Rhinolophus ferrumequinum: one gene and its partners. The protein of the gene in region 1 interacts with the protein of each later gene in a pairwise test. Links are inferred from orthologs where the notes say so. Each region holds a gene or a part of one and is shown on either strand. Other genes may lie near its edges.

The links.
Region 2: the proteins of SFN (region 1) and FOXO4 interact in binary tests that used the Homo sapiens proteins (3 or more experiments, as listed by UniProt). The link is inferred for Rhinolophus ferrumequinum from reciprocal best matches to the Homo sapiens genes SFN and FOXO4.
Region 3: the proteins of SFN (region 1) and NTAQ1 interact in binary tests that used the Homo sapiens proteins (3 or more experiments, as listed by UniProt). The two-hybrid records come from large-scale screens. The link is inferred for Rhinolophus ferrumequinum from reciprocal best matches to the Homo sapiens genes SFN and NTAQ1.

What each region holds. Positions count from the first base shown.
Region 1 is NC_046292.1:18,397,722-18,401,909, reverse strand, and holds SFN (14-3-3 protein sigma), read right to left. Parts: upstream 2,617-4,188; 5' UTR 2,499-2,616; coding exon 1,752-2,498; 3' UTR 1,259-1,751; downstream 1-1,258. UniProt on the Homo sapiens protein: Adapter protein implicated in the regulation of a large spectrum of both general and specialized signaling pathways. Binds to a large number of partners, usually by recognition of a phosphoserine or phosphothreonine motif.
Region 2 is NC_046284.1:1,868,378-1,873,368, reverse strand, and holds the start of FOXO4 (forkhead box protein O4), read left to right. Parts: upstream 1-1,771; 5' UTR 1,772-2,450; coding exon 2,451-2,903; intron 2,904-4,991. UniProt on the Homo sapiens protein: Transcription factor involved in the regulation of the insulin signaling pathway. Binds to insulin-response elements (IREs) and can activate transcription of IGFBP1.
Region 3 is NC_046297.1:60,735,770-60,740,760, reverse strand, and holds the start of NTAQ1 (protein N-terminal glutamine amidohydrolase), read right to left. Parts: upstream 3,343-4,991; 5' UTR 3,106-3,342; coding exon 3,017-3,105; intron 3,010-3,016; exon of another isoform or gene 2,873-3,009; intron 1-2,872. UniProt on the Homo sapiens protein: Mediates the side-chain deamidation of N-terminal glutamine residues to glutamate, an important step in N-end rule pathway of protein degradation.

The DNA of each region.
Region 1 (4,188 bases):
GGTTAAAAGCCTTGGCCAAGGCCGGCTGGAAAGAAACCCAGGCAGTTTGAGTCCAGAACCCAGATTCACGTGTTTTTCATTGTCTTTAGTTCAAGCCTCTTTTGATACAGAAGGGGAAACTGAGGTCCAGGGAGGTATAATAGCTTTTCCAAGGTCACACAACCAAGTCAAGGACACAATCCAAGCCTCCTGGCCACCAGTTCAGGGCTGCCTGGACTCTGATATGTGGTGGGGATGCCTTGGTGGCCTTTTCCAAGCCGGCCTTGCCCACCAGGCACCGCAGGTTAAGCAGATGACTCAAAGGGAAGGGACTGCTTATTCCGCACCGCCCCGTCCCGTTGCTCTGATGCCGAACTGGCGCGAGGCAGGTAGCAACTCGTCTAAGTGAAACCCGGAAAGCACCGCCCCCAGCGCTCGGCGGGTGGCGGGGCCACTCAGTCCCGCAGCGCGTCGCCGCACTCGCAGGGCTGGGCGGGCGTCGGGAAGACGCGCCGCGCGCGTCCACCGCACATTATCCCATTGGTCAGTCTGGCCCCGGGGGCGGTAACCCGAGGAGCCCTGTCCAGTGATTGGACTATATCGGCCTCGGGCCCGCCTCCAGCCTGAGCTGTTAAGGCGGGAGAGAGCGAGGTGGCCGCAGGCTCTGGCGTGTTGCAGCTGGGAGCGGAGGCGGCAGGCTCGGCTGGCCAGGACTGGCCTCCGCTCCCACCCAGCTCGCGCCCCCTCCCCGTCAGCCCATTTCATTTTATGGCCATCTGCCAACGCTAGGGGGCGTTTCCCTCTCCTCGGAGCTGGGCGGTTAATGGCGGCGTCACACTCCTCCCCCATAACGTATGCCCGCCTCTCAGATCTGAGCATTTCCCTGATGGGACTATTCCTCGCTTTCAAATGGGTGGTGTTCAATGCAGCTCACTACTGTATATCCATGCGGCGCTGTACTCAGACCTCACACCTGATACTTCACTGGTTCCCTGTCCCCTCAGATCTGAGCTCTTCAGCAGAGGAGACTCAGCCACCTTTGGGTTCACCTGACCCTCCTGCGACCAGACCAGTTATTTTGTTTGGGATCACCCTGATGGAGAGAGCTGGACCCCCACCCCTCACCTGGAGTCACCGGCTCCAAAGTCTTGCCTGCAGGTGACTGAGCCAGCTCCATGGGAGGTTAGGACCCTAAATCAGAGGTCCAAAGTCAGGCTTTCTGTAAATCAGACGCCAACCTCAGTCCCAGCCCTCCACCAATAACTGGAAAAGACAGGAGGAGTGTCACAGGGGAACTTTATTGAGAGAAACACTGCCACACCCAGCAGACATGCTTTCCCTCTCATTCTGGGTCGGTCTCTCTCTCACACACGCACACACACACTCATCTCCAGCCTGTCACACGGTCCATTTCTCCACTACAAGGGTGGACACTCCTCAATTCCTAAGATCCAGAGGCTGCAGGGGCAGGAGGGAGTCAAGAGTGGGAAAGAAGTGGCCCGGTTCACAGGGAGGGAGAGTCTCGAAGCGGGGGTGCAGAGAGCAGGAGTGGGTGGGTTAGGAGCACACGACAGCTGCAGGAAGAGTGGGATCCTCTGGCTCCAGGTGGCCTCAGCTCTGCTGGTCCCTCTCTGTGGAGCCTCTCTGAGCTGGGGGGGGCAGAGCATTGGGGAGAAAGGTTGGGCTTCTCACCCCATACTAGTCCTCTCTGCCAGGGGCGGGGGACTGGAGCGGGCAGGGCAGGGCAGGGCAGGGAGGGGAGCAGGTTCGGCTCAGCTCTGGGGCTCCTCAGGTGCCTCGCCTCCCTCTTCTCCGGCGTTGTCGGCTGTCCACAGGGTCAGGTTGTCTCGCAGCAGCTGCATGATGAGGGTGCTGTCTTTGTAGGAGTCCTCGCTGAGGGTGTGCAGGTCAGCCATGGCCTCGTCGAAGGTGGTCTTGGCCAGTGAGATGGCCTCCTCGGGGCTGTTGGCGATCTCGTAGTGGAAGACAGAAAAGTTCAGGGCCAGGCCCAGGCGGATGGGGTTGGTGGGCGCCATCTCCTTCTTGCTGATGTCCATGGCTTCCTGGTAGGCTGACCGGGCTGAGTCAATGATGCGCTTCTTGTCATCGCCAGTGGCCACCTCGGCCAGGTAACGGTAATAGTCGCCCTTCATTTTCAGGTAGAAGACCCGGCTTTCAGCATCACCAGCCGTCTTGATGAGGTGGCTGTCCAGCAGTTCCAGCACCGTGTGGCACACTCTCCGGAGCTCAGTCTCCACCATCTCCCGGTACTCTTGCACCTCCGGACCCTTCTCCTCCGAGCCCTCCTCATTGCTTTTCTGCTCGATACTGGACAGGACCCTCCAGGCAGCCCTCTGGCCACCCACCTCATTCTTGTAGGCCACTGACAGCAGGTTTCGCTCTTCACAGGATAGCTCCTCACCCTTTTCCACGGCACTCTTCATGAAGGCTGCCATGTCCTCATAGCGTTCGGCCTGTTCTGCCAACTTGGCCTTCTGGATCAGACTGGCTCTCTCCATTGGCTCTGGGGACGGACAGACAGACGGTGGCAGGGTAACTGGCTGCCTCAGGACCAGTGCTGGACTCTGTGGCTCTCCTGCTCTCAGCCTGCCTTTTGGCTGGGTGGCCTGGCCCCGAGCAGGGTGGGGAGGGAGGGGTAAGGGGCGGGACTGAGGCTGAAGACCTACTTCCCTCTCCTCCCCACACCCTTTCCGGCTCTTCCTTAAAGGTAAGAGGGCTGGGATGTGGAATGAGTCATCGTACAGTCAGCAGGAGAAATTAGGGTTTGGTCCCACCTGCACAGGCACCTTCCAGGCTCCAGGCTGCCCCCTCATTCAAGGTTTCCATTACATAGGTGTCCCTATTAGGTAACTGCCCCAGTTTCTCAAATCAGATTTTCCTTCATGGTGTCCTTTCAGGGGCTAAGGATGGCTTCAACCACCTGGCCACCTGGTCACTTCAGCCTAGACAGACCCCATAAAGCCAGGTTGTAGAAGGATGGGGTTCCTAATCCTGCCAAGTACGTTTGCCCCTTGGTTCAGGTGATATCATTCATGTGTAGGTAGAGCTGTATAGTTTCCCAAGCACCTTTATATCCACGATCTAATTTAATCCCTATTATGTATGTCTCTGTGAGGTGGGCAGGACTGTGACTACTACCCCACTTTAGAGATAGGAATACTAAGGCTCAGAGAGGGATGAGATTTGCTCAAGGTCACACAGCTACTAAGTCCCCTGCATCCTAAATACTTCCTTTGGTTTCTCCCCCATTGAGGCTTCTGACTTGTGAGCTCCAGGCTGTATTTAGAAGTGAGATCCAAGCTTCTTCTGGAATCTACCTCAAAAGGTTCTATCCCATCCTCATTCCCCCTCGGAGCTCCCAGAATGCACTGGTGGCAGCTTTCATGGTGCCACTTAATGAGGTGTTTAACAAGCGGCCTCTGACGCTCCGGCCCAGCCTTTGTAATTAGTCACCCAGTAGGTTTGTTGAACACATTTCCCATCACAGCACAATTTTCCCTTTCAAGTTGGTGGCCTGTTGCGACTTGTTCGAGGACTTACCCTCTGGCTCTCCACGCCAGGTCACCTGCCCCCTCCAAGTCACCTGCCATCCTGTATCAGTAGGGCTTACAGAGGATGGGGGACAGGCTAACTGGCTGTCCCACTTTCATGCCTGACCCATCCCGCTTTCTGCCAAAGGCTGGGAAGCAGGCCACCTAGGTGCTCAGCTCAGTTTGGTTACCCAGGGGGGATGCTAGCAACTGGACAGAGAAACAGGACCAAGAAAAAGGAGGTGGCAGTGACATATACCATTTTGTTTTATAGAGCAACAGTCCCAGCTGAGTTCCGCCTCCCACAGCCTGCTTCTTAGAAGTTTTCCGGTCCCTTCCCTTTGACCATGGCTCCACCGATGACCCTTGACCGGGGCCTTGGAGATAGAGACTTCTCTGTTGCCAGCCTTCTATCCTTCTTTGTTGGGTCGCTGTCCTCGTGTCAGCCAAGAGTTTCTTTCATCTAAAGGTGTTGGCACTGCACCCGTGAGGGTGAATTCCTGCTTATCTGCCCCACCCCTAGCTAAAGCTTAGAAGGGGCTCAAGGATGGGTCTCCCCTCGCTGGGATCCAGCCAGCTTAATCCTAGAGCCAGGACTATTTCACAGGCCTGTCCCTCCCCAGGTTCTTCTTGGTGTCTGAACACCCACCCTCCCCTT
Region 2 (4,991 bases), on another chromosome or scaffold:
TGCAGGCTGTGCTGCGGGAGGAAGAGGCGCTCGCAGGAAATGGCTGCCTGGCATTGTGAACAACTGCATGTCGTCTCTCTAGTCTGGACCTCAGATAGGAGGAGTACATGGTCCACGACAGATGGAGGACACATCCTGTTGGAGTAGAAGGAGACAGGAATATGAAGAAGCAACGTGGTCATGTTACTGTGAGCAGACTAGTATCACTTTGAAGGCCCAACGTGCTGCCGCCTGTGCTGCCGCGTTGTATGGAAAGCCTTCCTGACAGGAGGAAGGCCTGCTCACCACAGAGCGACACAGCAAATGGTGTAGCACCAGGCGCTCTACAGACACGTGAAATTACAGACCCACCCCCAGGAGCTTGCCGTCTACCAGGAAAATTGGGACTGGATAGGCAGAACATACACATCATACATTTCTTAAAAAGCTGTCAAATGTACAAGTGCAATGTCATTCAACTCCTGATCCCATTCATTCAACCAACATTCACTGAATATCTTCGATGTGATCCCAAGTTGACAAAAGCAGAAAAGGGGACGGTGTTTCCAAGAAATCATGTGAAATTCTGACTTGTTGGAACTTAGTGTGCCCAGTGAAAGATGAAGCAAGAAAGGTGGGAAGTGGCCCGACTCTGAAGAGACCTGCGTGCCTTGCTAGGGAGGTTGAACTTTAGCACATAGACAATGGGGGAAATCAAAGGAAGTTTTAAGTAGGGAAACTGTGTGATCACATGGCCGTGAAAATGATCCCAGTTCTGCCTCCTAGCTGTGTGACTTTGGGCAAGTCACTACATCTCTTAGCATTAGTGTCTTTGTCTACAAAGTGGGGTTAATGGTCGTCCCCATCTCACAGGGTTGATTTGAGGAGTAAGTGAGCTTGTGTGTAGGTAAGGCAACGGGCACAGCGTCTGGCACATAATAGGCGCTCCGTACATTTTAGCTGTTATTACCAGGAAGGTTTCTCAGAAAGGTAACTTTCTTGGTAGCACCAAACATACAGTGCAGCGGGGGGTAAAGACTGATGGCAGGAGGTCCGATTAAGATGACACTGAAATTTAATCCGGTGACAAATCAGATCCTGAAAAGGGATTTGGATGTGGGAAGCTAGGGAGAAGAAAAGGTGAGGGGGGTCTAGCTAGGGAGATTGGGTAGATCAGGGTAGACCCATTTAGCAAATTCAGACCTAAGGGTAGCCAGCCGATAGGGGTGTGGGTGCAGAAACACATCGATGAGTTCAGTTTGGGACTTGTTGAATGAGAAAGGCAACGCGAAACGGGAGCCTGGAGGACATCAGTATTAAGGGAGAGATCAGAAGAGCCAGAGGAGAAAACTGATTGGTCAGCGGCCACAGAGTCAGTGTAACTGCTTCTGGGGGATGGAGAGAGGTGGGGGTACACTATCATCAGCTAACCTTTGGTTTATGTTAGGCAAGCCCGCCACCCAACTCCCCAACATGCTTACAGCCTGTTTTCTCGTCAGTTCTTTGCTTCTTGCTTCTCGGTTTTCTGCCTCTTGTAGAGACCGCGTTGTTGTTTGTTGTTTTGTTTTCCTTTTGCCCTCTCTTAACTGAAAGAGGGAAAGTTCTAGCATCTCTCAACACGATCACCTAGGATACCCCGAATATCAGGGAAGGGGGTGGGAAGGGGGTCAAGAGAGGGGTGGAGAGGGGATGGGAAAGACCACGAAGCAGGACGGGAAATGTAGTCCTCAAGCGTGAGCGGGATGGCACGACTGAAGAACTCGGTTTCCCAACTGGCTCTCCAGGCGCGTGCGCAGATGGCTGCCCCGGCGAGTGGTAAACAGAGACGCCAGGCGGGGGCTGTAGCTCGGAGCAAAACAAAAGGGAAACCCGGGGGGGCGGGGGGTGGGGGGGTTTGGTAGGGGAATTGGTGCGGGAATAGGAGAGGCTGGGGCCGCGGGGACGTGGACCTTCTTAAGAGTGGAGGGAAGGGAAGAGGCGGAGGAGGGGGAGTCAGGGGAGGGGCAAGTGACGCGGGGGAGCGGGGCGTGGGGGAGGGCAGCGATCGGGGTGGAGGAAATTTGGGAGGAGTGTCCGGGGGGCAGAAACTTAAAAGGGGGAGGGAACTGCGGCGAAGGAGACGTTCGGGGATGCGAGCGCAATGTATGAGGGGCTGTGGTGCCTCAGGTTTAAAAGAGCAGGAAGCTGAGTGAGAGAGGTCGGAGGAAAAGTGTCTTCGCTAGGCGGAGGTTACAGGTGGTGTCTCGGCAAGTGCTGGGAGGCTGGAGGCTGGAGGCGCGGAGAGGATCGGAGAGCTGTGTGGAGGGGACAGCTTAGGGGCTAGCGTCCTGCGGCGAGGACGAAGTTGGACTTTCTGAGGACTGGCGGGAATGTGCCTCCCGGCTCTGGGTGCTTCCCCCCTGGGGGGAGGCATCGTGAGGGTCTGTGGCAGGCTCCTCTGAGCGCTGGGCGGCTGAGGTCCACCTCCACGTATGGATCCAGGGAATGAGAATTCAGCCACACAGGCTGCCGTGATCGTGCACCTCGATCCCGACTTCGCACCCCAGAGCCGTCCCCGCTCCTGCACCTGGCCCCTTCCGCGACCAGAGCTTGCTTCCCAGCCGTCCGAGCCGCCCGAGGTGGAGCCAGGTCTGGGAGAGAAGGTACACACGGAGGGGCGCTCAGAGCCAACCCTGTTGCCCTCCCGGCTCCCAGAGCCGGCAGGGGGCCCCCAGCCGGGGATCCTGGGGGCCGTAACAGGTCCTCGGAAGGGAGGCTCCCGCCGGAATGCCTGGGGCAATCAGTCATATGCAGAGCTCATCAGCCAGGCCATTGAAAGCGCCCCGGAGAAGCGACTGACACTCGCCCAGATCTACGAGTGGATGGTCCGCACTGTGCCCTACTTCAAGGACAAGGGTGACAGCAACAGCTCAGCAGGATGGAAGGTAACTCCGACCCCCTCACCTCCACCCCAGTACCCTCTGCCTCGGGCCCCCAGCCTCATTACTGCCATTGGGGGGGGCCCTTTTACACCCACCCTCACCCCAGAGATCCACCTTCCATGGTCAATTAGGCAAACTTTTACTTAGGACATAGTATGTGCCACGCTCAGTGCTTGATGCTGGACGATCACAGATGAATAAGACACTGTCCTTGCCCTGGAGAAAATTGAATTCCCTGCTCACTGCTCAACACTCCAGGCACAAGTGTTGGCTTGGGCTGCCCCAAACACTTATTCCCACAGAGAAGTCTTTATCCTCTGTGCTGTGTGGATTCTCCGAAGAGTGCAGCCTTCCCTCCTCCCCCACCCTCCCACCCCAACACCTCTTCTCCCGTTCCTGTGGGATGACTTGGACTCCCTGCTTGTCCCCCAATACCTCAAGGTAGAGGTTCTGTCCCAAAACTCCTCTACCCAAGAAGAGGGAGTGGAGTTGGCAAAAGGTAAGAAGAGTGCTGATATTCAGGGGGTAACGTAGCTGATCTTACGCACTAAGAAAAAAGGGGCTGTGAGCTGATACCTGCCTCAGTTTACCCTATAATGCCAAGCAACTCCCCCTGGTAAGGGGCTCTCCAGTTTTGGGGGGAGAGCTGTCATTTACTGTTAAGGAATATTAATCATGGGGAAAAAAAGGCAGAGGGTTCTGACTTCAGAGCGCAGAGAAGAAAGTGAGCTAAGGAGCTCGCTAGGTGCTCTGAAAACTTGTCTTGAGAACTATGGGGCTCTAATCACGAAACTGCGGAGCTTCAACCCCTATTAATGTCTTGTACGACCATAGGTGGTGAGATCAGCGCGCCCTTAAGGAAGTACACAGGGTTGAATGAGCAGTCTCCCCCAGGTATAAGAGGTCGAGGGGTCCGATCTGCTGGGTGGCCGGGAAACAGGACAGCTGATGGAGACCCCTGGCACTATTTCTGGGTAGACTGCCACGCCACAGTCTCAGCTCATAAAGAGCTCCCCTCCTTGGTCCCAGCCTACACAGCTGTTTTTCTTTTCCTTTAGGTTCATTTTCCAGGGTAGAAGGAATAACCATGAGTTGGTAGTTATGCTGTGGGAGTAGTTCCTCCTTATAATTTACACTTATACGGGGCTTTTCAGTTTACAAAGTGGATTTTTAGTTTTTTTTATTCTATTAGTCTTCACAGCAATTCTGAGATTCCACATGTTGCATATTAGGAAAGTAAGGTATAGAAAGGTTAGGAAACTTGCCTAATGTCATTAGAATGAGGACTTGAAGTCAGGCCTAACTTTAAATCATATGCTATTGCTGTTTGTCCATGCTGCAACTTCTCTTCACTGGAGTGATGACAAAGCCAGTCAGACTGAGCCTGGGGCCTCTAAGACCCCCCACCCCACTCCAAGGGGGAACCCTCACGCCTGAACTGGCTTACCTGATGATGTACCAAGGTAACTGCCACCCCACCAGGGGGCGGCACCCACTTAGAACAAGAAAGCTTAGTTCAGTGGCTTGGGGAGCAATTAGCAGTCACCCCCTTGCAACAGGTAAGAATTATGGGCTCCTAGGAAGCTGACCTCTCCAGGTAGGTGGCTGTACCATGTATAGTTCTAAGACTTAAAGACTGGACGAAGAGCTGGGCCTCATGGCTACTGAGTAGTAGGGAAAGGAATGGGCCTTCTCAGTAGACCCAGAGTTAGAGGATGAAAAGACGGGCGATCATGGTGCGGAAAGTCACTGTGGTTCTCAGTTACTAAGATCCCAGGCTGAATGGACAAGTGTGGTTCCTTGAAGGAACTAAGAATGTTAACGTAGCCGACTAGCTGAAGTGCCATTACTGCAGGGTCCCCAGGAGGTGGGATTCTGGAGCTAGAGAGCCTTGGAATGAGAATCTACTTAAGCATCTTTCTCCGGGCAAAGGGTGTCCTTATCTAGAGCACCAGTGGGAAGAACGTGAAGTGATTTGTGACTGTCCATAGCCTCAGCCTCCTGGTTGCTCCAAGCCCTTCTGGGCTCCTGAGTTTCTAAACACTAAAGAGCTCCATGTGGGAGGTCAAATGCCCCTAAGGTTGGAGATCC
Region 3 (4,991 bases), on another chromosome or scaffold:
ACTATTGGCAGGCTGAATACACATGTGGCTTGGACACACTTTGCCAATTGTTTTTTAAATATGTGTGAATGTTGCACAGAGGAAAAATAAATTTAAACATACGAGTTACTGAACTTGTAGTCCCTTTTTATGTCCATTTTGTTTTCAAGAGTACAATTAATATCATGTAGAAAGATCTCATGATACTTTTGATGTTAATAAAAAAGAGGACCTTATATACTTGGAAACACTGGGAGTCATTTGGAATAGAAAGAGCCCTGGATTTGGTGTGAATCCTGGCACCCACTTAACTGGTCAAAAAAAAGTGGGGAATGATGACAAAAATGTTCCAACCTGTCAATTGACTGTTTTGGCAGCAGAAAGGCTAATAAAGCAGCATTAGGGCCCATGGTTACTTTAAGGGTTACTGGTGATAGGCTGAGTTCAGAAAGACATGCGGACAAGGATTCCTGGCACACAGTAGGTGCTCAATAACTGATTGAAAAACACAAAACAATTGCAACAGAATCAGAAATGTTCTGCAAACCGCACAGTGTCACACAAACATCGGCCACCACTATTATCCCTAAGCTGGGTCTTAAAAGATAAGTTAACATCTGACAGAAACTAACAGAAGTAGAGGCAACGTTTATTTCAAGTTAGAAGTACCCACAGGAGCAAGTGTAGTAAGGTGCACCCAGCCCACATGTTCAGACAGGGTAAGGCACTGGTCCACAATCAGAGACGATTTGCCTCCAGGGGACATTTGGCAATGTCTGGAGACATTTTTGGTGGTCACACATTGGGAGAGGATGCTATGGGCCTCTAGTGGGGACAGGCCAGGGATGCTGCTACACATCCTACAATACACAGGACAGTCCCCACAACAAGGAATTAACATGGTCAAGATGCCAACAGAGTCAAGGTTGAGAAACTCTGGGGTAGGGCAGGGAAGCCAAGTTCAAAATGAGGTTTTGGAGGAACAGACAGTGAGCAGACCTTAGAGGGCCTGCTATGCTCAGGGGACAGACTTTATTATCTACGTCTGTATTCCCTGATATGTGACCGTCAGGCCAGACTCAGACTGCTCCACTGTGCCGCTCACACATCCAGACTCGGGGGTGAGGGGGTGGATCCTAAGAGCTGTATGTTTTCCAAGCTCCCAGCTGATTCTCTGGCACATTCAAATTCATGATGGCTTTGAGACGTGTAAAGAAGTTAGACCTGACAGGATATGGGAGAGCTGAGCAGAGAGACCTGTTAGGAAGGACTGGAAAATGCCCCCAACAGCAAGCAAGTCAAGGAGGATCTGACCGACGGTAGAAGGAACTCAAAAAGATGATCTACTGAAGAGACGCTCATCTCCTACCATTCTTCCACCAAATCCCTCCACTCCAACCGTGTCAGCCTCCTTGTTTTCTAGAATAGTCATGGCTTGTTTCCTTCTCAGAGCCTTTGCACCTGCTGTTTCTCTGCCTGGAATGATCTCCCACCAATATCCACGACGTTTCCGCCCTTTTTCTTCAGATCTGTTCAAAGATCGTTTTATCAACAATGTCTTCCTTAAATATCCTAATATAAAATAGTAAGTCTCCATCCTTTACCTTGTTTTAATTTTCTCATAACACTCAACAACACCTAAGCATGGTTTGTTTTTGTCTGCTTTTCCCCAACTAAAATGTAAGAACCATGAGATCTTACCAGGGACTTTTGTCTATTTTGTTCACTGCTGTATCCTTAGTACCTTAAATCGTGCATTACACACTCCAAATGTCTAATAAATACTTAGTGAAAGAATAAAACAAATGAATGGACGTTAGGGACAAGAACTAATAGGATTTAGGTGAGCGGGAGGGCAGAAATAAAGTGCAGTACTCAAGCATGGACTCCAGCATTACAGAGGTTGGTTTCAGGACTACCGCTTGCTAAATGGCTGATCTTGGGCCAACAACAAGCCTCTCTGTGGCTGTCTTTTCATTAGTAAAATGAGAGAAATGAGTAATAGAACCTATCTCCTAGGCATGGATGGAAGAAAGCATTTGGCACTGGGCCTGATAAGCAGTCAGAGCTGAACAAACGTTAAGCTCTGGGTGGCACTGGTTTGGTGACCAGCTGAAGGAGGGAAAGATAGTTTTAGGTGGCCCTGCCGTTTCTTGTAAAGGGACTGGAAGTGGGGAAGAAGTCATTACACAGGCAAGGAAAGGGTAGGTGTGGGAGTGAAAAGGACCAAGGTAGGAACTGTGATTCAGCCACAGAGGTGGCCTAGGACAGGGGTACAATGTGTGGACTCCAGGGCCGTACTCTACTCACAAATCCCCATTCTTTCACTTACAAGCCATGTGGCCTCAGACAAGTTTACTTGCAGCCCTCTGTGCTTCAGTGTTCTCATCTTCAAAATGAGGATAACAATACTTACCTCCTAAGGCAATTGCGGGGCATAAATGAATCCGTTTACATAAACCACTCAGCACAATGTTTGGCATATAGCGAGTACTATGTAAGTGTAACCATTATGACAACATGGTAGTTAAGACCGTGGTTTTTGGTACAAGAGGGCCTGAAATGGATTTCTGGATACTATTAACTGGGTGACCTTGGGAAAGTTACAGCAAAATCTCTGTGCCTCCATTCTCTTCCGAAATTAAAATGACCATCACATCAGTGTGACACAACACAAGCTCAGGCAAAGTAATTTCTAGGCTCTCTGCGCTCCACCCTCCGCCTCTGCCTCCCCTTCCTAGCCCACAAGCACTGAGACCCGCTGAGAAACGTCCAAGCGAAAAGCGCCAGGCAAAAGTAATACACTGCCGACTCGACCATTACTGGCGAATTCCGCACCCCCACCCCCACCCCCATCCAAATGCCCACGTTCCACTCAAAAGACGCGAGCTACCATTCCGGCGTCCTCTGCGCCAAACCGGAAAACCCGCCAGTAGAGGCCCAGAGAGCCCGGGGGAGGAGCCGGGAAGAGGCGGGGCCTAGCGGCGACGTCGCGGCAGCCACGGAGATGCTAGCGTTTGCACCCGCGCCCCCTCACCAGTAGCAGCTGTTGTAGACACAGGCATCCCTTGGAGGGCTGGCCGGCTGGTAGCTGGCGGCTGCGGCGTCGGGGACATCCCCCTCCATGGTGGCTTGGGCCAGGGCACGGGCCTGAAGCGCGCCAACTGGTCCAGCCCCCCAGGCGCGCTTTGGGGACGAAGCTGGCGTGCAGCAGCCCGCACAGGCTCTCGAAGCGGAGTGGGCGGAGCCGGGGCAGCTGGTGCAGTTCCCGAGTGGTGGAGCCTGGCACGAGCACGCGGAATCTGGGCGGGGCGAGCGGCTCAGGTTCTTGGAGCTCTGGGTCCACAAGAGCGGGGCAAGTTCCGGTGGGTGGAGCTAGGGGCTGAAAGAGCGGGCCCAGGACGGCCCTGTGCAGGCGGAGCTGGTTCCGGTGGGCGGTGCCTGGGCGGGACGCGCAGGGCTAGTTACGGGAGGGTGGAGCCAGGGCAAAGTGGGCGGGTCTGGGGTTGGGTGAGCGGCTTAAGTTTCCCGCGGACTGAACTCCGGCGAGGACCGCGCGATTCCGGTAGAGGGGGCCGGGACCGGTGGAGCCAGGGCGGGGCGGTGCTGGCGGCGCGGGTTCCAGGTGGGGCGGGGCCGGGAGTGCTGGGGACGGCGGTACTAGCGAGGAGCCAGTCAGGTGGGGGAAAAGAGAGGTCACTAGCCGGCGACCTGAAAAGTCAAGGAAGAACGTCAAGTTGGTAAACCGCCGGACCCTGAACGGCGCCTCGTGACTCTCCAGGAGGAGGCTGAGACCCTTCTTCCAACGCGTGGTCGGGTTGCCAGCTGTGGAAGCACCAAATGAGATGTAGAAGACTCGACGTGTGCGAGTGAAATAAGAGACTTGTGTGTGAAAAATGAAGCTTCAGCACTTTGAGCCTAGTGCCCGCAGGATCCAGGGGGAATAAAGGGGGGGGGGGTGAGTTAAGTCCAAATACGTCTGCATCAAGGATGGTTTTAGCGAAAGGTATCACCCTAAAATCTCACCGTATTGTAACATTTTTAAAAAATAGAGAATTGTATATATTGGCTAAGAAAGATCTATGGATTCTTTGATATAGTAAGTAAAAAAAAAAGTTTAAAAAGAATCCACATGGTACCCATTGTGTTAGTCATGTTTATTTTGTTGCCAGCCTGGAAGGAAAGACACCAAATGGTTGAAATTGTTTATCTCTGGTGAATGAATGATAACGGAGGATTTTCACTTGATGCTTTATAGTCCTCTGAATTGTCTGTTATTTGCAAAGGGCATATATAGCTGATCAGGGTACTTTCCATTATCAAAACTGAAATTCTTGGTGTATAGGCGATCTATAGTCAGATTTGCCCAACTCGTGAATTCTAAAACCCCAAAATCCTAAAGACTGAGCATAAGTCCTTGGGTCAGTTGTCAATTTATTGCCTCTCAGCTCTGAATACACACTTCAGTATAGGCTCTAGACAAATAATTCCCTTAAGCATTTCTCCTTTAATGAGAGAATGGTGGTAAGCCTTCTCATTAAATCGTGTCGCAGGAAGAAGACTCCAGTTGCTGGGATGGTACAAAAGTTTGGAGTGGTCATGAGAATCATCATCCAGTGAGGTCTGCCCCAGCCACAGATCCTACTGGTCCCTCTGTGACTTTGCAACTTTAGCTTAACAATAACCTTTCTGCAGCCCTCTTGACACAAACCAGAGGCCAGGGAGGCCTGCAGGCAACTGCCTCCCATACTCCTTCAGCAAGCACTTCATGGCCTGCACAGTTACCTGTGGCTGGGGGGCTCACACACTGAGCATTCCGTCAATCGTCTTGGAGTCTCCCCTACTTCCCTAAGCCCCTCTATCCTTCCCCCACCACCACCCCAATGCATTCTGAAGGCCTTCTGCCCCTGCTGGCTCCCAGACTCCCAAGGCATCCCCGCATTGGTTGGTGATTGCTCCCTTCTACCACTTCTACCTTGCTTAAGGAAGTTGAATGTCAAGAACTATGATAA